Linked DNA regions of Drosophila melanogaster. The protein of the gene in region 1 interacts with the protein of each later gene in a pairwise test. Each region holds a gene or a part of one and is shown in the gene's direction. Other genes may lie near its edges. The genes, in order: DnaJ-1, CG16972, Archease and Nf-YC.

The links.
Region 2: the proteins of DnaJ-1 (region 1) and CG16972 interact in a two-hybrid assay, tested with the Drosophila melanogaster proteins (one large-scale study listed by BioGRID).
Region 3: the proteins of DnaJ-1 (region 1) and Archease interact in a two-hybrid assay, tested with the Drosophila melanogaster proteins (one large-scale study listed by BioGRID).
Region 4: the proteins of DnaJ-1 (region 1) and Nf-YC interact in a two-hybrid assay, tested with the Drosophila melanogaster proteins (one large-scale study listed by BioGRID).

The regions. Positions count from the first base shown.
Region 1 is NT_037436.4:5,749,513-5,753,911, reverse strand, and holds DnaJ-1 (DnaJ-like-1), read left to right. Parts: upstream 1-1,722; 5' UTR 1,723-2,318; coding exon 2,319-3,323; 3' UTR 3,324-3,883; downstream 3,884-4,399.
Region 2 is NT_033779.5:13,197,287-13,205,058, reverse strand, and holds the start of CG16972 (uncharacterized protein), read left to right. Parts: upstream 1-1,763; 5' UTR 1,764-2,058; coding exon 2,059-2,515; intron 2,516-2,650; coding exon 2,651-4,348; intron 4,349-4,404; coding exon 4,405-6,456; intron 6,457-6,515; coding exon 6,516-6,714; intron 6,715-6,776; coding exon 6,777-7,503; 3' UTR 7,504-7,772. Other genes in the region: Pect (phosphoethanolamine cytidylyltransferase), read right to left, coding at 787-869.
Region 3 is NT_033777.3:21,660,652-21,664,771, reverse strand, and holds Archease (archease), read left to right. Parts: upstream 1-1,799; 5' UTR 1,800-1,907; coding exon 1,908-1,962; intron 1,963-2,028; coding exon 2,029-2,053; intron 2,054-2,552; coding exon 2,553-2,943; 3' UTR 2,944-3,586; downstream 3,587-4,120. UniProt on the Drosophila melanogaster protein: Component of the tRNA-splicing ligase complex required to facilitate the enzymatic turnover of catalytic subunit RtcB.
Region 4 is NC_004354.4:6,817,657-6,822,594, reverse strand, and holds Nf-YC (nuclear factor Y-box C), read left to right. Parts: upstream 1-1,675; 5' UTR 1,676-1,868; coding exon 1,869-1,912; intron 1,913-2,070; coding exon 2,071-3,439; intron 3,440-3,501; coding exon 3,502-3,894; 3' UTR 3,895-4,417; downstream 4,418-4,938. Other genes in the region: xit (xiantuan), read right to left, coding at 1-223, 291-401, 465-1,379, 1,435-1,502; iav (inactive), read right to left, coding at 4,439-4,589, 4,650-4,870, 4,926-4,938.

The DNA.
Region 1 (4,399 bases):
ATAATGGGGAGTAATGTAAGCTATTGACTGGGTTACAATCAGGGGTCTGATAACAATCAAACATTGTCCAGTTGCCTTTTGCGAATATCAATGACCACTCACGAGTTGCAACTGATAACGATTATCGCCGCACAATGCAGTGGGTGGGTATTTCACTGGGGGGAACTTTTGGGTCCCTAGAACCCAGACGGATTACTCAATGAATATAGGCGATATGTTTGGGTTTACAGCGAAAGTGCTATTAATGTCGACCGTATGCTCTCTTCGATGTGCCAGCTCTCTATTTGCGGGAATGAATGACTATTTTTATGGGTCTGCCGTCGCTGCTACAATGCTGCATTGCTGCAGTGGGACATCCTTTGAACAGGCGCCATGCCAAAGGATATTCTTTGTGGAAGGGGGGGGGGGGGCAAGGGTTAAGGGTCACATTCGTTTGCGCAATACTTCCAGCGATGGGGCGGTGAACGGTGGGCGGGGCGATCGGTCAAGGCTTCGACTGTGGAACGTGACACGCATATGTCGGCCGGAGTTTGGCCCAAAAAGTGGCCCCAATGGTTGTCCTTCGCGCTGGCAATTAGTCCCTAGCAAGGCGCGTCCATATTTTGCAAAAATTCGTGGGGCGCCTTGTTTTCTTCTCTCTGTATGTGTGCATGTGTGTGTACCTCCGTCTCACTCACCTCAAGTGTGTGTGTGTGTATGAAAATACTGCGGTATACGGCTGCGTTTGTGTGTGAGTGTGGGTTTCGGCTCTACTCTCCCGATGATCCTGCTCCTCCGGTCCTAATCCCGGCCTGCTCGGCTGCTCCTGCGTCCTGACTGCGCTAGAAATTCGCTTAAAACGAGCCTCGACGGGTCATTTTTACAATTGTTTTTTGTTGTTCCGTTCGGCTGTTTTACCAGACGTGCTCGTTCCGGTGTGACTGCCCGCCGCTGACTGTAAAATACTAAACGCATTGCAGCTGTGGCAATGCCCAAGTCTTGGTCTTACGGTCACACTGGCAAAGTTTAAAAATTTATTTATTTCAACTTTCAGTTACTTTTCGTTGGCTTGAATATTACACTAAGAATTCAATTTGACACTTGCAATTTATACATTGTATATTATAATATATTATATGTATTATATTTTATATCATATAAAGATATTTATATCTATTGATCTTTTGATTATAAGCTCTTTGGTTGAACAATATAAGTGCAACTTTCTCCATCACCTTCCTATCTTTTTACAATATGCTTACCTCGTCAATACGTTTTTTCTATTTCAAATATTTCAATATTTCAAAGAAATATTTTGTTTATTTTTCTGTGTGTTTTTAAGCAATCTGACCCCTGTAGAAGAATCCCTTATAATATTAACAAATGTATCCTCAAAATAGATCGATCTCTATCTTCGCAGACTTACACGAAACATTCCAGAACCGATAGTTTTATGCGATATATGAGATTTAAGGAGTACTTTCCGCATTTCGCCATCACAGTCACGCTTTCCTTGGCATTTGCAATCAAATAAGCGCTAATAATAATCGTAAAAGCATAAGAAGCATATAAAGAAGAGTCACCGCCAAAAGCATGCACAAATATATATAAATGGGGAGCGATTTAAAAACAGTGCACTGTGTTTAAAACATCGACAGCTATCGGTTAGCATATCGATATTGACATTCGCAGTCAAACGTTTTCGAGATACAACCCTAAAATCCGAGAAGCATCCAGAAATTTCGACGTAGACGAGGGCGAACCTATAAAATGAGGTTGACGCACGAATCCCGCTCATTATTAAACAAAATTTTGAAGAGAAAGAAACTCTGAAGTAGGGTGTGTTTTTAGTGCGCAAGCCACATTTGGTGGATAAAGAAAAAAGCGAAGAAGAACAATTGAATTGAATCAATTGCGAGAAAGAGACAAAACTCATAAATATTTAAAGAACATTGCCCCGTGAAAATATAAATAGTGTGAATACACAGTGAACAATACCAACAATTGCACTTTGCCATTGCATTTTGCACTTTTCCACTTGGATTTTTGAACTTTTACGGATTCCCAGACAATCGCTTACATTTAAGGTAAGCTTCGTTGGACATATTGCCACATGTGGGCGCATCGATTTGATCTGCTGAAAGAAGCACATCGGGAGCGGAGCTCTCGTTGATGGTGACTACATACGTCACTCGCGTGACAACACGGCAGTTGCACAACTGTGCTGTTCTGTGCTTCTAGCACTTTCCATCGCCCCAACCCAGCAAGCTGGCAATCAGTATTCATTCTAATCTATAGCGTTCGTTCGTTTGTGTTTCCCCTATATTTTCAGCTGAGAGATGGGCAAAGACTTCTACAAGATTCTGGGCCTCGAGCGCAAGGCCAGCGACGATGAGATCAAGAAGGCCTACCGCAAACTGGCACTCAAATACCATCCCGACAAGAACAAGAGCCCACAGGCGGAGGAGCGCTTCAAGGAGATCGCCGAGGCGTACGAGGTGCTGTCGGACAAAAAGAAGCGCGACATCTTCGACAATTACGGTGAGGATGGATTGAAGGGCGGACAGCCGGGACCAGATGGCGGCGGTCAGCCGGGAGCGTACACTTACCAGTTCCACGGCGATCCGAGGGCCACATTTGCCCAGTTCTTTGGATCGTCGGATCCGTTTGGCGCGTTCTTTACCGGCGGCGATAACATGTTTAGTGGCGGTCAGGGCGGCAATACCAACGAGATCTTCTGGAACATTGGCGGCGACGATATGTTTGCCTTTAATGCCCAGGCACCCAGTCGCAAGCGCCAGCAGGATCCGCCCATCGAGCATGATCTGTTCGTGTCGCTGGAGGAAGTGGACAAGGGATGCATCAAGAAGATGAAAATCTCACGCATGGCCACCGGAAGCAATGGGCCGTACAAGGAGGAGAAGGTGCTGAGGATCACAGTGAAGCCGGGCTGGAAGGCCGGTACCAAGATTACCTTCCCCCAAGAGGGTGATTCGGCGCCAAACAAGACGCCAGCTGACATCGTCTTCATCATTCGCGACAAACCGCATTCGCTGTTCAAACGCGAGGGAATCGATCTAAAGTATACAGCCCAGATCAGTCTGAAGCAGGCCTTGTGCGGAGCACTGGTTAGTGTGCCCACGCTGCAGGGCAGCAGGATACAGGTGAATCCGAACCACGAGATCATCAAGCCCACCACAACGCGCCGGATCAACGGACTGGGTCTGCCGGTGCCCAAGGAGCCATCGAGGCGCGGCGATCTGATCGTCTCCTTCGACATTAAGTTTCCCGACACACTGGCACCCAGTCTGCAGAATCAGCTGTCCGAGCTGCTGCCCAACTAGGCTAGAGCTGTGCCAGCCACACACACACACACACACACGCATATAATTGTTATCACTTTAGTTAAGGCCTATATTTAATTTACCGTACGTACTCGTAAGACAACTTAGCCTAACCAATTGTAGCCCTAAGCTAGTGAGTGTGCCAAGCGAAGAGCTGTAGATATTGGCCGAGGATGCAAGCGCTGGATAGGATTAGGAAAGAGAACAACACACACACACACACACACATAAAGCAGCCCGTGTAGCCCGTTTCGTGTTGGAGACTGATCGATTATTAGCTATTTAGCATTACACAAATTCCATAAGTTGTTTTGTTTACCGCCACATGAATCGGTGCCTCAACATCTTATACATAATAATCCCAAAACAAAATATTAAATAAATGAGGTATTATAAATTTAAAGTAACTAACCATTTTTCAAGCAAAGCACATTTTCGGCATTCCAACACGGGGAGGTTACATCAGTTAGTAGAACACTTATAGATTTATACGCCGTAAGGACATAGTACGTTTTAGTACCAATTCTATTATGTTATAAACAATAAAATTACTTATACACACATCAAGTGTCGTTTCTGGGTCAGTGGGTTGCAAGCATTATAGAAATTGCTAGATTTCACGTGGTGGCAATCAAAATGTGGTGGCTAAAACCAAAACAACATGTATTGCTGGCAATTTCTTCTATTTTTAAATATATATAACTAGCGCGCCAAACAATTCAAAAGTCTCCACATGTGGAAACTTCCAGAGGGCAACACGCCACCTGGCGTGTATAGATCGTGTGTTACATTTCAAAAACCATCTGGCATCACTGGCAACGTTTGTTTAAAACGTCGAGTGGAAAAGATGAAATTTAAAATAAAATCGTTGTTTAAAATCCTTTTTCCAAAACCTGAAATCCCCGAAAGCCAAAAAGAGAATCAATAAAAAGAAATTCCATGTTAATTTTATTTTAAATTTCACATTTTATTTTCATTTGTTTTCTCTTCAAAAGGATTTCGTAATTTAATCATTTGTCACACATTTTCACTATCCTTATGTTGAGTGTTAAGTTGCATTTGCAATTGTATAATCA
Region 2 (7,772 bases), on another chromosome or scaffold:
GAATCAAATAATTATATATATATATATATATGGGGGAACGCAATGCCTATAGAACCATTTGATGGTGCCCAAAACAAGGCAAAGTGCGTCAATAGTATCTATATGCGGATCTAAAATACATAGATGCATTAGATGAACCGAACACCCGGTTTATCACATATAGCAATTAATTATTGTGCAAACTAATTTGGGATATATGTATTGTTGTTAGCTTAAGCGCCATAAAGAGTGCGAGTATCGCCGGAAAAGGCAAATTAAACATTTTCTCTGAGTAATCTGTTTTAGAATAGCCACTGTAAGCGTACAATTATAAATAGATTGCATAGCGTATAAATATAAATATAATGCCAAATGTCCCGGTCAAGCGTGGAGAATATGGACATTTCGGATCCGAGAGACCTTGAACCTGAATTATGTAGACATTTCAGCCGGACGACGGCAATGGGTGGATATTTGGAACGGGCAGCGAGACGGCACCGTTTCACAAAGATTTGCTAATCAATTGAGGAACCCTGGACGCTTCTTAGCACGCCTAAAAATGGGGTTTAGTTTATCGTCGACTGATTACGGTTATTGGTATTGGAAACCAAATTGGAATTGAAATAGTAGGGTTCGGTTGGCCGTGGTGTGGCATGGAATCGATGGCACCGACGCGGAATGGTTATGCTTTGACTCACTTTACCGTTAGCGGTGAGTAACGACGTGACGCAATGGGCTGCCCTAAGAACCGTTAGACATTGTGGACCGAATTCCTGGAGGCCCCTAAATGTAATGTAGATGACTCACCATCCATCGCACCAGACGCGCACATCCTTCCGCTGCTTGTCCGAATACCCATTGCAGGCGCTGGTATCGCCATTTGCCTCCATCGTTGACTTATTGAATTTTCACAATTTAATTTAATTTTAATTTAGAATCCGGCTAACGGGCGAACATTAGATTCCGGAGAGTATGTTTCTGTTTTCAGTGCTCGTTTTGAAGGCGGAAACTCGACGACAGCGACGTTCACGCTTCGAGAGCTGTAAGTTATTTGTTCTGAGCTACGACGACGCCCGCTATATATCAATTCCCATTTCACGACCGAGCTACTCAGTTCAGTTTTCGTTATCGGTTTCGGACTCGGATTCACGTTCAGACTCGGAGCGGAATTGGTCTCAGATTCTCAGACTTGCGTTATCAGCGCGCGGGCGCATGGGAACTTCTTTGGGGCGTAAGTGCGGTGTGTTTAGCTTGGGTTTTTTTTTAGATTCTTTCATTTCTTTTCTCACAATTTCGAGTACCGTGAGAGCAGAGTGGCCGCATCGGTGTTTGTCCAAATATACCATATGCCTGGTGCGATGAATACCAGCTAACGCGGATTTTGTAAACATCAACAGCTGATCGAGATATATTGGGAATAACTTTAAATTGGCAAATTTTATGTTACTAAGCTAGAACTTTTATATTAAGCAAGTACAAATCTGTATTATTATACGTTAAAAGGGTATTAACTCTATTAAATCCTTATGAGTCGATCACCCCAATGAAATGTATAATATTTTAGGATATAACAAAGTGTTTTGTTTATAAATAAATGTAAATATTGTCACAACAATTATTAAAAAAAAAGTGTCATAGAATTAAACAACGAACACTACTAATAACATTCACAATTAAAATTTTTTTTTTCATTTTAAAGGTATATTTTATTGATTGATCCCACTGTAAAAATAATACCGATGGTATTTTAAGAGGCATATTGGCCATGGCGATGTGAGATAATACTACGGTGTTTCCCACGGTCACACAGGATAAAGCAACTTAAAATATTAAGCCTATCAAATAAGAAATATACAACGCACAGCACGCAGATATACGAAAAATAACAATCGAAGGAAACCGACCAAGCCATGATAATGTAATCATGATCGTCCACAGTCAGTTCGGGCATTGTTTTGTAGACAGCATCAAGTATATTTTTTAAATTTCACGTGCTAAATTTACAAGAAATCCTACCACAATTACTAAACGAGTCGACGAGGGCTAGATAATCCCAATCCCATTCCCCGTACCAACGCGATGTCCAGAAGAGAAGCCAGCCTGATGGCCTACGTAGCGGCGGAGGAACACCTACTGAACCGGTACTCGCCGCTGGAAGGCGACGAGATAGATACGGCCAGCGAAGCTCCAGGCGACGCATCGGACGTGGCTGAGGATCGGGAGTATCCCACGGATCTTGTTGCATCTGTCACCAGATCCTCGAGGACGGGAGCAGATCTGGACCCCGCCGTGGACAGCAACCTGCACGTGATCTCCGACGACTCGGACACCCACAGCTTTATCTCGAGTGGCAGCGGCTTCAAGGGCTGGCCGGAGGAGCAGCCGTCTTCCAGTTTCGTCCCTCAGAATGAACCCTTAATATTCGGACTTCGCCGGCAAATGATGATGACCGAAGAGACACACCAAGCCCCAGTATGGGCCACCTGCACACCGGCAAAACGTTCGTACAGCAGCCACGAGGTCATCGAGATCAACGGTTTGTTAATCTGTTCCATTAACTATACAAGGAAATCTCTTCCATTTAATTGATTATGAACATTTATCCCAATTGAAAATATGAAATATCTAATATGGTAAACTCACTCAATCGCATACTTTTCTTGTTTTTTAGACTCACCCGAATCTGTCCAGGATCCGGGCATTGCACTAAGCCCCGGCATGCTGCTGACAAATGGCAATGTTGACCAGTTCGAAATGCTGTCCCACGAGAATGATGAGGCTGAACATGAACTTCAGGTGGCCGAAGAAGGGGAGCAGTGTGTGATCTATGAGGCTGTGGATGGAGAGAACATGGTCGTTTTAGGAGAAGAACACTGCTGTGAGATCATAGTAGCTACCCAGGGAGTGGCATGCGAGCAGGAGTTCGCCAGGGCCATCATGATGGCCGGAAACGGTACCGGTGCATTGCTGGGCTTGCTGTCCGAGGAGAGTGATGCGAATGAGTGTCTCAATGGGACTGCCTACATCGAGGAGGTCGTGGAGGATATGGGTGTGGCCGAGGCACGATTGGCGGCTGGAAACAATGTGTACCTTAGTGATGCAGCGCTAGAACAGCCTTTAGTGCACCAGGATCTGGTCGACGACGAGGCTCCGGAGGAAAACGAAAACGCCACATTCTTAGACGATACACCGATGGAGGAGGAACGCCCAGATATTTGTCAGGTGTATGATCACGAACTGGAGGACCACGACGATGAAGAATGCGAGGACGCAGTCATCCAGGAAGAACCAGCCCAGCCTATCGACATTGTAGCATTCGAGGGACAGGAGCCGCTGCCAAATAATCCGCAAAGAAAGTTGCTTCGCGAACACAGCAGTCCCACGGAATTTCCCGTCAGCTCATCCTCCATGCCCAACGCCAGTGACCACTACGACTATGAGGATGAGTTAACGGGCGGCCGCTCTCCATCCAAAGTGGCTCCACTGAAGCGAAAGTATCCGCCGCTGATGAAGAATACGCTCCATGGAGAGGCTATGGATCGAAGACTGGCAAGCATTTGTCAGGCTCAGCCGCAGATGAGTCCCGCCGAGAAAGTCTCCAACTGGGAAACGGCACCCAGGGAAGAGTGGGCCGATGTCGAGGATGTGGAAGGCTTTGAAGCTGCCTTCAAGCAATATGAGGCTGTTACCGCATCACTCAAACAGCTTAACTTTGCCGAATTCCGTGAAGCACTGGTCCGGAATATGGAGAAGATCAGCCGTGAAATCATGCAAACCTCAGACGAATCCACTCAAGAGCTTGCCAGCTCTCAGTCGGCGGAACGGCCGGTGTATCGTCGCTATTTGCACATTCTGCCCACCGAGGAGACAATTGTGCTAGATGATGATGACGACGATTGCTACGAGGTGGTCGGCATGGAAAAAGCCTCTGTCACCACATTGATACCCGAAGAGGAGCTACAGGATAATCAACAGCCGGAGGAAGAAGAGATAGTGCTGCCAGTTGTTGATGACATAAAGAACACGGATTCACCGAATTTCGAGCAGCGGAACCTTACCAAGGAAACATCTACAGCAGACTTGGAGAGAAGCGCGCTTACTCAAACGGCGGGTTCATCCGCTGCGAATTTAGACGCATCCTTATCCCATGCTCAACCTTGTCCAACTGCTCCGGCAGGACTTACTGATTTTATGCAGGCGAACTTAAGCGACCGTGGGCCATCAGAAGACCAACAACTAACCAAAGCTGTATTAGATGTTATGCGTCAGCAGGTGCAAACAATGCAACAGCAACAGCAGTTTATGGAGCAAAAGATGAACCAACAACCACAGATGTATCACTACGAGGAACTGCCACAGGCTCCCCAACGTAAGACTTTTTATTTGTATTTTATTGCAAATTTAATTGGTTAATTTAAATTACAGAGATGCAAATGGAAGGGAATCAGGGGCCTTACGTTAAGTATCCGAATGAGCAACAGGAATTCTGCAACTATCTGGGTCTCACCGAACTGTCAACAGCAAATGCCGTGGCTACCGCAATGAGGGAACTAGCCAACAGCACTATCCCTCGCCGATCGCTGCGGGTGAGACCACAACAGCAACTGGACAGGATGCGTAGTGATGTGCGTGGCAAGCGGCGCGAAAGGGAGCGAGATAGGCAGCAGGATAAGGACAAGAAGATACCGTTGACCACAAGTAGTGAGCTTAGCACCGATAAAGAAGAACCCTCCCCGCCTCAGACATCAGAATCCGTTTCAAGGATGGCGGGGGATGCGGATGTCCATTTCAACTCTCAAATGCCTGCAGAGCATAAGCGAAAACTGAATCACTTGTACAACTCTTATTTTGCGGAAGAGGAAGAATGCTCTACGAAGAGGTCACCCAAAACCACCGACTTTATAGCCAGTTCCAAGTCCTTAAAGGATGTAGAGAGGCGTCCATCGCTCAAAGGACAGGAGCCGCAACGTCATAGATCCATCATTGATGGCGACGGCTATCAGAAACATCAGATAGACAATGAGTCTGAGAAGGGTCGGGTTCAGTCCGTTGAGGCGGCTTTTACTAAGATCTTCGAGGCTGCCGCACCTGCCCAATCCAAGCTGCTGGAGAGCATGCAGCAACGCTTGCGCCAGGCGCGTGAGACGAAGCCATCAATTTATATTATTAAGGCTACAAGCAATGCCTCGCCCCCGAATCCATCACACAGCAGGCAGGAGTCTCACATCTCACCGGCGCCCTTGAACTTAATCGGCGGCTTTGGTGACGTAAGCGCGCCGCATCCTTCTGTCATTTCCCAGCCAGCGAAGAAAAGTCCTACAATAACCAGTCCAGATAAGGAAACTCCAGCCCCCTTACCAGTTGATACACCCAAAAAATCAAAACATAGGAAAACCCATGGAGCCACCAAACCTGTTGCCGCTACACCACGACGCCGCACTACAATGGGTGCATCCAGTCTCGGGAACGAAGCACGTGCACGCGATTTGGTTACCCGCTCCACCACGCATCTTAATTCGAAGCTACTTCGTAGCCGCAAGGTTAGTCTGCTCAAGAGCTACGCCCTGTCGGACGAAATGGCTCAGGGACGATCGAAACGGATGGCTGGCGGTGCAGCACAAACCACCAAAAAGGCTCCAATGCCCAAGGCAGCACGGACGTCGTTAAAGAAGCCGGCAGATAAAAGTCTTCCTGAGCAACATCGCTTGGAGCAACAGCAATTGGCTCCGCCAAACTCTCCCCGAAAGATGAAAGGTGTCAAGGAGACTGAAACTGACACGACAAGTGCAATGAAATCTAGTCGCCTTACTAAACGGACCAAGCGAGCACGAGCCAAGTCACTGCCTTCGAATATTGAAAGGGTGACTGAGCCTGTGGCAGCCGTTCCTAATGCCAATGTATTGAGGCTCGCTGACCTGGCACCAGAAGTGCCCAACACATTCGCGCCTACACACAGCCATCTGGTCAACTCCACAGCCAAAGAAGCCGCTGACAAGACCTTCGTTCATTCCCCCTCCGTCGCTCAATCGCCTTATGCACAGCCCGTGCTTATTTACCCGCCATCCCCAACAACACCGCCACCGAATACGGAGCCACATCGCCCTCGCCAGCAAGCCGGAAAAGTCAATCCAGCTGACTTAGTCCTGGCCACCCCTCCTGGGGGCCTGCTGCGACTCAGTCAGGGATCCGCGACGCTAGCAAATCCACTTTCTGCCAAGCACGGCCAGGTTCTCTATATGTACTACGAGCTGGAACAGCTCATTGTGCTGCAGGAGAATTGCATTACCTTCTGGAAGTACTCCAAAGTGTTCAACGTGCTGCATCAACCGCGACATAATCCCTCCTTTGATGGCGCCAGAAAATCTCCATCTCCAAAGCTGCCTCAAACACCTTCGCGCGAGCCCAAAGACGTCGAGCAGGAGTTGAAAATGGGCCCGCGATGGGTTTACCTGGGCAGAGTGCGGCGCCTGACTAGCGGTGGGTTATGATCATTTATACACTTTACGAATCTTTCTAGCCTCTTTGATGCATTACAGAGAAAGAGATCTTTACGCCGTTTGGCAGCCGCATTTGCGTGCACAATTCGACGCCGGTGTACCTGGAAATGCGAAGCAGGCCGCTGGACCATCACAAGAGGGAGGTGAAGCTAACCTCGCTACATGTGAATGTGTATTACTTCTGCGAGGAGGAACTACGACCCCGTATGCACTCTGTGCACTTGGATGCTGTCAATTGGTGAGGACTATCACGCAGTATGCATAAATTCAATGACGTAACCTACAACTTTCGTTATTTAGCGAATGGCCGCATGTCATATACACAACTATAGCGGATTCGCGTTACTTCGTTATGGCATGGCAGCAGGAACTGGTGATGGGCAAGTCGCGCTCGGGCATTTGCAAATATTCACTGACGCCCACGCTGGATACGCTGGCCTCCATACGGGAGTTTAAGCAGTTGCGCCACGAGCTGCGTCACATTGAGTGCCTTTCAGAGGATCGCCTTATCGGCTACGGCCAGATGCGCATCACCGTCTGGGATCATCGCAGCGGCGATACTCTGATGAACTACGACTTGGGCCGGCCGCTGGGCCGTTGCCTGGCTGCTACGCACTATCCTAGCCTCGACTTGGACCAAAGCAGCATGCTGGTGCTTTATCAGCTGCTTAAAGAACCAAACAAACCGTCTGAGGTGCATGTGATCGCCTGTGAGCTTTCCCATGCCACGCCCTCGCACCGCCTGCTGCAGGTCCACCGCTTACCATCGCCGCAATTCGACGATGCCACGGAGGGCGTTAACACCGGTGATCATCTGATCATCAAGTCAGCATCGAACGACGAAGCCTGGATAAGTGCCGCCGATCCGAGACAGCTAACCTATTTGGCGCCGCAAATCAATGGAGCTCAGCGTTTTTATGCCCGCCACAAGTCCCAAGTGATCGAGATGTCCCCGCAATCCCTAACTGTAGATAGTATCGCCAATCACATGTTGAAATTGGCTGTCCAGCAGACCCAATCGGCGTAGACCTGTGTCGCGGAACTAGAAATGTGGAGAGTCTCGGCCTTGAACAAAGTTTTTGTTTTTTTTTTTCACACAAACCCATGTTTGAATATCACCCAGAATACCCGATCTATAAATGTGCTTTTGGCTGTCTGCCCAAGTATAGTTCAAATATAGGAAACTATAATAAGTTGCGTGTTAAGCCCTGTAGTCCTAACAATCATTTTAGTCGTAAGTAAGTCGGAGAGTAGTAGCCTTTATTATGCGCTATTTTGAAATAAGTGTTTTTGTTT
Region 3 (4,120 bases), on another chromosome or scaffold:
AATCCACTTAGAGGCGGCAGCCAGTCATGCAACGCGAGAGCAACAACGTATGATAATATTTGGCAATTCTTCAGTTTAGCGGTTGCATTTGCAACCAAGTTGACCAACGGTCAGTTATTTAACAAAACAAGTTACCTAGCTACTTAGTTTAGTTGAGTTTTCCGAACTCCCGAGCTTTAGTTTCACTTCCAGGCAATTTACTTCTGGTTGTTCCAAATATATAGTGTAGCCAAATATGAAATTCTGGAACTCGTACGCAAAGGCGCGCAAATATTCGAGAATAATAATAGCTTTACAGTTATTTGCGCCGAATACGCGACGTGAATCAGGCGAGCTCCCGTAGCCAACTGAACCACTCGAAGACGTAGGAAACCAGAGAAAAAGAGCTTCCACCAAAAGTGGCAGCAGCAGCCAAATGAGCCATAATAAAAAAAAAACCACAAAAATAGCAGGAAAATGTTTGAAAGCCATAATATGGCCGGGCACAAAATTGAGCTTTGTCAACTCGGCTTAGAGTTTGACACCCCCAAGTCGCGTTTCCTCATGTGCAAAATGAACAAAATTGAACAAAACGGTCGTAAATCACCAGCAGAAATCATTCATAAATTCCTTTAGAAATGCGTAGAATCATTTAATTGACCGAGATGCGCACTAACTGATAACCATTACTTAGCAAGTTATTATTAATATTATTTCATATAATTTTATAGCATGTTTGATAATAATTCATATTAATGTCCCAAAAGGTGAACAAAAAGTAAATACAAAATTCATTTGAAATAATACAAACACTTTAACTATAAAATAACTTTTCATTTCTCTTAACACACTAAATATTTCTTGAACTTTACATCAACGAGTTGAACGACCTTAGAAATAAATATTTCCTTCGCTGTCTATTTCAAACAATAACCCATCACCGCTGGTTGAAAAGTGATCTGAATTTAATGAGGCAATATTTATTAGACAATCCCATGTCCGTCAATGGGTATTATTCAAGTATGAAATCAAGTACTCACAGCCAGCGCTCAAGTTCATGGGATTGAATAAATCAAGCGACGTGATTGACAATCGTAACGATTGACGGCAATGCTGCCGGTAGGCCAGAAGAAGATTTTGTGGACTGTTTCTTTTGGCAAATGAAAATACAAGGTTGCAGCTTCAGTTGTTATGGCTGATTGCGATTTAATGAAAGGACAAGGTCGCTCTTACAGAAATTCAAAACTGGGCTGAAAACATGCGCCAGCACTTTGTAGCACTTTAAGTGCGATAACAAATGGTGGGCATAAACTGGAAATTCTGCTTTAATTTTGCTCAAAATTACTTAATTTTATTACAATCACAGCCTTTAGCACAATTTTATTTCTTTCGTTCTGTAACGTTTTTAGATATATTTTTTTTAACTAAAAGGGCCGTGGGAAGCATTTTGTAAACACTTTATTAAAGGAGGAAGCATTATTTTTATTTTTCTTCTCTTCTGATGTTGGAATCCTTCCCATTTGACATGCATATTTAAATTACAAGTTTTTTAAATTACAAAGTTAAAAATAAATGAAGCCTTTAGGTATTTTTAGATATTTTTAACAATTTCGAATTTAAAAGCTTGATAGAAACTTTTATCTTATAATTCAATCTTTATAATTTATAGTTTACTCTTTATTAAATAAAACCCAAATATTTCTTACAAACAATTTTATACATTTTATTAAAATTTGTATGTTAACATTTCCCGGTTTGAGCTCAGTATTTTCTGTAATTTGTATGTTAACAATTTCTTATTGGAGCTCGGTATATTCCTTTCAGTAGGTATTTTCCCCTGCGCATAGATGGTCACACTAAGCGGTTGCTGGTTTGTTTATAGTTTTTGTCCGCGAATTTTACTTTAACTTTAGCTATAACTAACAATAATGGAGGTGGAATTCAGTAGGGAGAACTTCCTGCTGCCGGAGATGAAGTACGAGTGTGAGTAGTTCTTCGATTTGCAGGAGAATAATCTGTTGCTAAATATTTCATCACATTGCGTTGCAGACCTGGATCACACGGCGGATGTTCAGTGAGTAAGATAACAACAAAAACAACAAGTGTGCCCGTTAGCCATGTGGAGTAGGGTGGTTCGCTATTTGTGAATGAAAAATCCAGATGATCGTATAAACTAGATTCTAATAAGCGCTTTCGTATTAGAATTTGAGATATAGCAAACATTCTGAAAAAGAATTTATTTTAATTTATACATATTTTAAAGCCATTATAATTTTTCATATTTTCCCAAACCTATGTATTATGTTCATAGTTAGGGAATACGGCTTTTTAAACGTCAAATGTATCTGCTTTTTTGAAGATTATATGTAATGCAAGTTTTTTCTGACTTTTATATTATACTACTATCGCTTAAAACAACAAGACTATTATTAAGTAGTAGATCATAAATAATTCTTTTACTACGCCACTAAAAGGCAGCAGTTTTGTATATAAATTATAACTTACGGCTACAATAGACATAATTAATTTACTTAATATAAACGGATGATGTTGGAATCCTTCCCATTTGACAGAATCCACGGATGGGGATCGTCGCTGAAAGAGGCGTTCGAACAGTGCGGAGTGGCCATGTTTGGATATATGACCGAACTGGATTACGTGTCCGTGGAGCAGTGCTTTGAAATCGAAGCGCATGGAGATGATCTGGAGAGCTTACTCTTTCACTTTCTGGACGAGCTGCTGTTCCTGTTCTCTGCCGAACCGTATCTGGTGTGCAAGAAGCTGGAGATCACCAAGTTCGATGTGGAAAACTTCGAGATTTCCTGCCATTGTTACGGGGAACCATTTGAGCTGGGGAAACATCCGCAGGGCACCGAAGTGAAGGCAATCACATACTCGGCCATGCAAATCATTCAGGACGTGGAGGCCAGCAACTACGAGGTGTTCGTGATAATTGACATTTGATCCAGCGGCGATCGCCGGGAATTAAATGTGACTGTTCTGTTTCAACCCCTTTGCCTGTCTCCATTAATCATAAGTGAAATGCCAAAAAACGATATAAAAACCGCTGCATAAGCCCCGAAAAATTTGCAATCTCTCGTGCTGCGACTGCATCCCTTGTCGATGAGGATGACTTATCAAGAAACCACTCGATTGTGCGGCTGCAAATGCAATTAGGACTGGCTTCCTTCTCACCGGTCTGATTCCGGAATCAAGATTTACCCTTTTGCCTTCGAATTTTTTGTGTACTATTCACTTTTTTTTTGCCCACTGCTTTGTGAATTGGCAACGTGTTGAATTCCCAGACAAATGCCGAATTTGTTGTCCTTTCCCAGGCCCCAGTTCAATGCACTTTTTATTCGGCAGCCTTCAGGAGTTGCTGACGCGTTGGGTTGCATTAAAGAATTAAGTTGTACTTCTTTTTGGGGAGTCATGTCGAATAGGGCAGTTAACAATGCAAGTCAAGGCCATAGTTTTAATGTTATGATTGACTTGATTTGTTCGACATAAAGTATAGAGAATGCGGGGCCTAAAAACACAAACATATTTTTTTATCAACAATAATTTAGTTCAATGAATGTAAATCGTAATAAATATCTATACGATTAAGCAATCCCTAATTCTAAATATCAATCCACGACGATATCAACAAATATTAACGCTTTTCAAAAAACCGATTTCCTTTGAATAACGCGCTATTCTCGAATCAGTATTATTCGGATGATTTTCGCGTGAGCCGATGTTATTTAGTGGCCGATGAGCGAAGTCAGCTGGTAACACCGAGCGATTTGTTTTGAAACAGCTGACCGCACCGTCAAAACCCAGAAAGTAAACAACAAAAAAAACATTTGCCGGGCAACGTCGCCCAACATATGGGCCCGTTCTTGTATTTGTGTGGGTGCGTGCGTGCACGAGTATGATGATTTTTCCTTGGAACATCGGGCGAAGAACGGCGAACTGAAAAATATACGCTTTTACAGCTGATTGATATTAAAAAAAAAGCAACGCTGCGGTCGACGAGCCATACGAATGAGCGTGCGAAAGAACAAACAAAGTATGAAGGCAAATAGCCCGCGGACACACACGCACACACAAACGGCCAGTTGGTCGATTCGCTTTTAGCTTTCAGCTTTTCGAGTGC
Region 4 (4,938 bases), on another chromosome or scaffold:
CATGAAGCCCAGCATGTATAGCCACTCCAGCGTGTGGAAGCCTCGGAAGCCGGGGAAGATGCGATACAGCTGGCCGTACATCATGGCCACGTACGACATGTACAGGGAATACCGGGGAATGTACAGATCCGCATCGAAGAGCAGCGGAAAGAGAGAGAAATAGCCGGCAATGCCAAGGACATAGGCGTATCTGGCATCCTCCCGGTTTACCAGCGTGAGCAGACTGAAAAAGGGTGGGCCTGTTAGTAGGATTCCTTCATTTCGAATTAACTGAGGGGAAGGGAACTCACCAGAGCGGAAGGAGCACCATTAAGATGGCCTTCTCGTGCACATGCCAGCCGAAGACGAAGGAGGAACAGCCGCACAAAACCACCGCTCGCAGGAAGACCAGCGGACTTTGTCTGCAAAGAGATGGCGGATAAGTTTGCTGCGATATCTTGGAATCCAAACGAGGATTTCCTCACTTCTTGGCACTGCGAAAGAGCTTCACCAAAATGGGCAGCATGAAGAGAGCGGTCAGGGCAAAAGTCACAGGCGGTGTGATGGCTGGCAGCACCGAGTGCCTGACCTCCTGGACCAATCCTGACGTCGTCGAGGCACCGCCATCCTGTACCTTCAAAACTCCGGCGGCCAACTTGTCGGCGGCATTGTACAGCGCCCAGAAGTTGGGTGCCCAGTAGGCGTGCGTTAGGCCACGCTTGAAAGGAAACAGACGGGAGAGGACTTGCGGCAATTGCTGCCAGAAGGGTCCGAAAGACACGGCGAACGGAGTAAGTCCAACGACCAGCAGCTTGACAACGGCACCCACCGCAGACACCACACTCGCTTGCTCCAGGCAATAGAAACGCAGCAGGTAGACCCCAAAAGCGGGCGCCATGTACAGAAAGATGTGCTTAAAGTTGAGCAGCACGGCGAAGGCAAAGGCGCTCCAGAGGAACCGCTGCCGGATGAGGGAACCGATGCTCAGGAGCAGTATGCCGAACAGCAAGCCATTGTACTGAAAGTGAATGTGGTCCACGAAGATCAATCCCACGTTGAGGAGCAGCAACATGGAGGCGGCAAAGAACTGCTGCGTATCCCTGCCCAATCCCAGTGAGCCCAGGCAGCTGCGCACGCCGAGCACATACACTAGATCCGTAACAATCACCGAGAGCCGCTGAAAGTAAACGGTGGCCTTGGACTCGTAATTCAGGTTATCCACCACCAGCATTCGTGGATCCACGTACTTGGCCACCTGCGAGAGCAGCCACTCGAAGTAGGCGAAGAACGGCGGATAGTCCAGTGTCCACTCGCTGGTGGCGTCCACATACCACTGATTCAGCGGCAAACTGTGGGTGATGGCCAGCCAGTTGCGATGGACTTCGAAATCCGTGGAATGGCTAAGGATGAAGTTGATTTAGTGGGCTTGATAAGTGGACAGAGCACTGCATTTACTAGGCTGGAATCAGCAGGATCTTTAGGCCGGTGGCTATGCCCACCAGGTGCCAGAAGAGGTCCTTCATCTTCGTTTCTCTCAGGGATTGGGATTGTAGTTTAGATTCGATGCATTCCTTATCAGCGGTAAGTGCTGTCCGATCTGGCTTGAAAGCGGGCAGAATGCGATTGTCGATTGTGCCGGCTAAATGTGGCTTGGAAGTAGCCAGTTAGCCCGACTAAAAGCTATCGTTATCGGGCTGTCCAGTTTTCGCCCTCACCGCCGCCTGGTCACACTGACGCTCGCGTGTATGCATGTGTGTGTGTGTGCATTACATTACGCATTTGCTTTGCGAATTAGAAGCTAATTAAAGCGAATATTGTGGACTCGAGCCGGTCGCCAGAGTCCCACGGTTGCCGCCAACGCCGAGCTAAGGTCTCCAGCCAACCGGGCCATGTACGCCACCAACAATGGCGGCACGAACAAGGCGCCAAACAGGTAAGTTCCGCCTCCGCCAGCAAAATCTAGCGCCCCTCCCCCAAAAAAACAGGCGGTACAGCCGAGATTTTTAGTGTGTGCGCCGATCCTTTTTGTTTTCATTCTGCGATTTGTGCATGCCAAATAATTTGAATGAAACTAATGTGAATGCCCTACAGCAATGCCACCTCCATGTTCGACAACACCATCACAGTGACGCCCATAAAGATGGAACTGGGCCAGGCGTATGCCAAATCGCAAAATTCAGCGGCTATGCAGCGAAGAACACCGAATGCAGTGGTGGTCACCTCCTCCTCCACCGTCTCCTCCGCCCAGCAGCAGCAGCAACAGCAGGGCCAGCAGCAACAGCAGACGGTTCCCATGGCCAGTTTGGTGTCCAACGCCTGTACGCTGGTTAATCCCAGCATGAGTGTGACGGTGGCCACCACCGTTGCGAGCGGCGCCAAGGAGAAGACCACGAAGGCCACACGAACTCAGGTGGCACGCAAACCGCCGCCCACCATCGACAACTTCTGGCCAAATATCGTGAGCGAGGTGCACAGCATCGGCCAGGTGGATGCCAAGCACCAGGTGCTGCCGCTGGCGCGCATCAAGAAAATCATGAAGCTGGACGAGAACGCCAAGATGATTGCCGGCGAGGCGCCGCTACTGTTTGCCAAAGCCTGCGAGTACTTCATTCAGGAGCTGACTATGCACGCTTGGGTGCACACCGAGGAGAGCCGGCGGCGTACGCTCCAGCGTTCGGACATTGCCCAGGCCATAGCCAACTACGACCAGTTCGACTTCCTCATCGACATTGTGCCGCGCGAAGAGATCAAACCGTCGTCGGCGCAAAAGACCAAGGATGGCAGTACATCCAGTTCGAGCGGAATGGCGGGCGCAGCCAGCAGTGCCGCCTCCACCTCCAACACAGCCACCTCCAATGCGGCCGCCTCCGTGGCGGGCAATGCTACCGCCACGGGCAACTTTGTAGCCAGTGGTTCCACCGTACCTGCGACCACCGCTGGTGGCCTCAAGCTGGACACCACGGGTGCAACCAATGCCGCCGAGGTGCTCGGCTTCAGCACTGTCAACTCGGACATCTTCTCAGCGCAACTGCAGCAGCAACAACAACAGCAGCAACAGCACGCCGCCCAGCAGCAGCAGCAACAACAGCAGCAGCAACATCACCAGGCACATCCACAGCAGGTTCAGATTATTCAGCAGGGCGCTGGTGGCCAACAGTTGCAATACTTTATCGCACTGCCGAGTCAGCAGGCGGCGCAGCTCGTGCAGCAGCCGCAGCCCGCGCAGAATCATCTACCCATCAACATTTTGTCAACCCAACAACCCACCCAGCAGTTGATACTGACCGCCGGTCCCAATGGTCAGCTGACCGCAACGCCAGCGCCGCAAACGACTGCCCAGCAACAGACGGCGCTGCTCCAGAATCTCGCCCAGCAGCAACAGCAGCACCAGCAACATCAGCAGCAGATTCAGCTGCTGCAGCAAGTGGTTACGCCCACGGGGGAGCTGACTAATGTGCCGGTAGGTATCACTTGAGGTAATTGTATTGAATCCCAGATTAAGACTTGCCTTTCCCATTGCAGATCGCCATCAATGCCAGTCATTTGAATCTCCTGCAGCGACTACAAATGCAACAGCAGCAGCAGCAGCAACAACAGCAGCAGCAACAGCAGCAGCAGCAACAACAGGTCATCATACCAACCCAACTGCTGACGACACAGCAACTGCTCCAGCTGGGCGGAGCACCCACAGTGGCCCATCAGCAGCAGCAGCAACAGCAGCAGCACGCCAATCTCACGCAGCAGAGCAACGCCAGTGCGGTGGCCAGTGGCACGCCGATCTTTATCAACTCGACCATGACTGGTGCCCAGGCGGCGGCGACGCAGGCGCAGCAGCAGCAGTCGGCGCAGCAGCAACAGGCACAAACGATCTCCACCATGTCCACGGATCGCACATTAACCGGCGGATTTCGGTAAAAGCTGGAAGTATGATATCCGTACCAACGGACGGACGGACAGACGGACAGTTGGCAATCATATCGAAAGCATCGGGAGGCATTGGAATCGGGCATTGGCAAGCGGGCATTGATTGCGCCATCCCCTGTCATCCAGCACAATGTATAATATTATAGTTTACGTAGGTGTATACGATTGTATATCGCGGGGGAGATTATATATAGCTAGTGTCTAAGTCGTAGGCATCTGTGTAGAAACGATTTCTCAATTGTAATTTATTGCTGACCCTCCCGCCCCCTGGCAGCAGGTTTCACCTTCTCCAAAAAAAAAAACCGCCACCTCCACCACTTTTAAACCTAGCACTTAGAGAGAATAATGGGAAATCGAGTGTATTAGTGTATGTATGTGACGGGTGACGGATGCCACCGGTCCAAAGCATAACCCAGCGTTTCGCGTGGCATCCGCGCTCTTTATTATGTATTTGTACTTCTAACTAAGCTAAGATCTGATAAACAATTATAAGCCACCAAGGACTATGTGCCAGAAACTCCTGCGCTAACTGTATTCACTTTCTGGCCAGGATCTTGTTGATGTCCTGCAGTTCGCGGGTGCTCCATGGTTCCAGCGGATCGGGCGGCGATTGCGTTCGCCGCGTGTAAGCGGAACGTCCCCGCTGGCTGCGCTCGTCCGGATCATCGCTTTGCTCCGGCGAAACTCTGGCGCCCAAGGAAAACGTGGGATTAAGATATGAAACGGACACTGGGATGGGAACTCACTTGTTTCGGCGACGAACACGAGCACTTTTGGCGCGACGAGCGGCCTCATCCTGTGCTGGCTGGCACTTGCGCAGGTGAAACTGCTTCATAGTGGCGTGCACCTCCTCCGCCGTGGGTATATCCTCGCTGTCCTGTCCACCATTGCCGTCCTCGGTCTCCACTTCGGCTTCCTGTTCGATGGTCAGCACCTCCTCCGCGACGGCTTCATCGAAGTGGAAGCCCTGCTAGTGGGTTTACATTTTGCACTCAGCTATTTCACTTTTTTTATCCACTCACCGTGTCCACATCC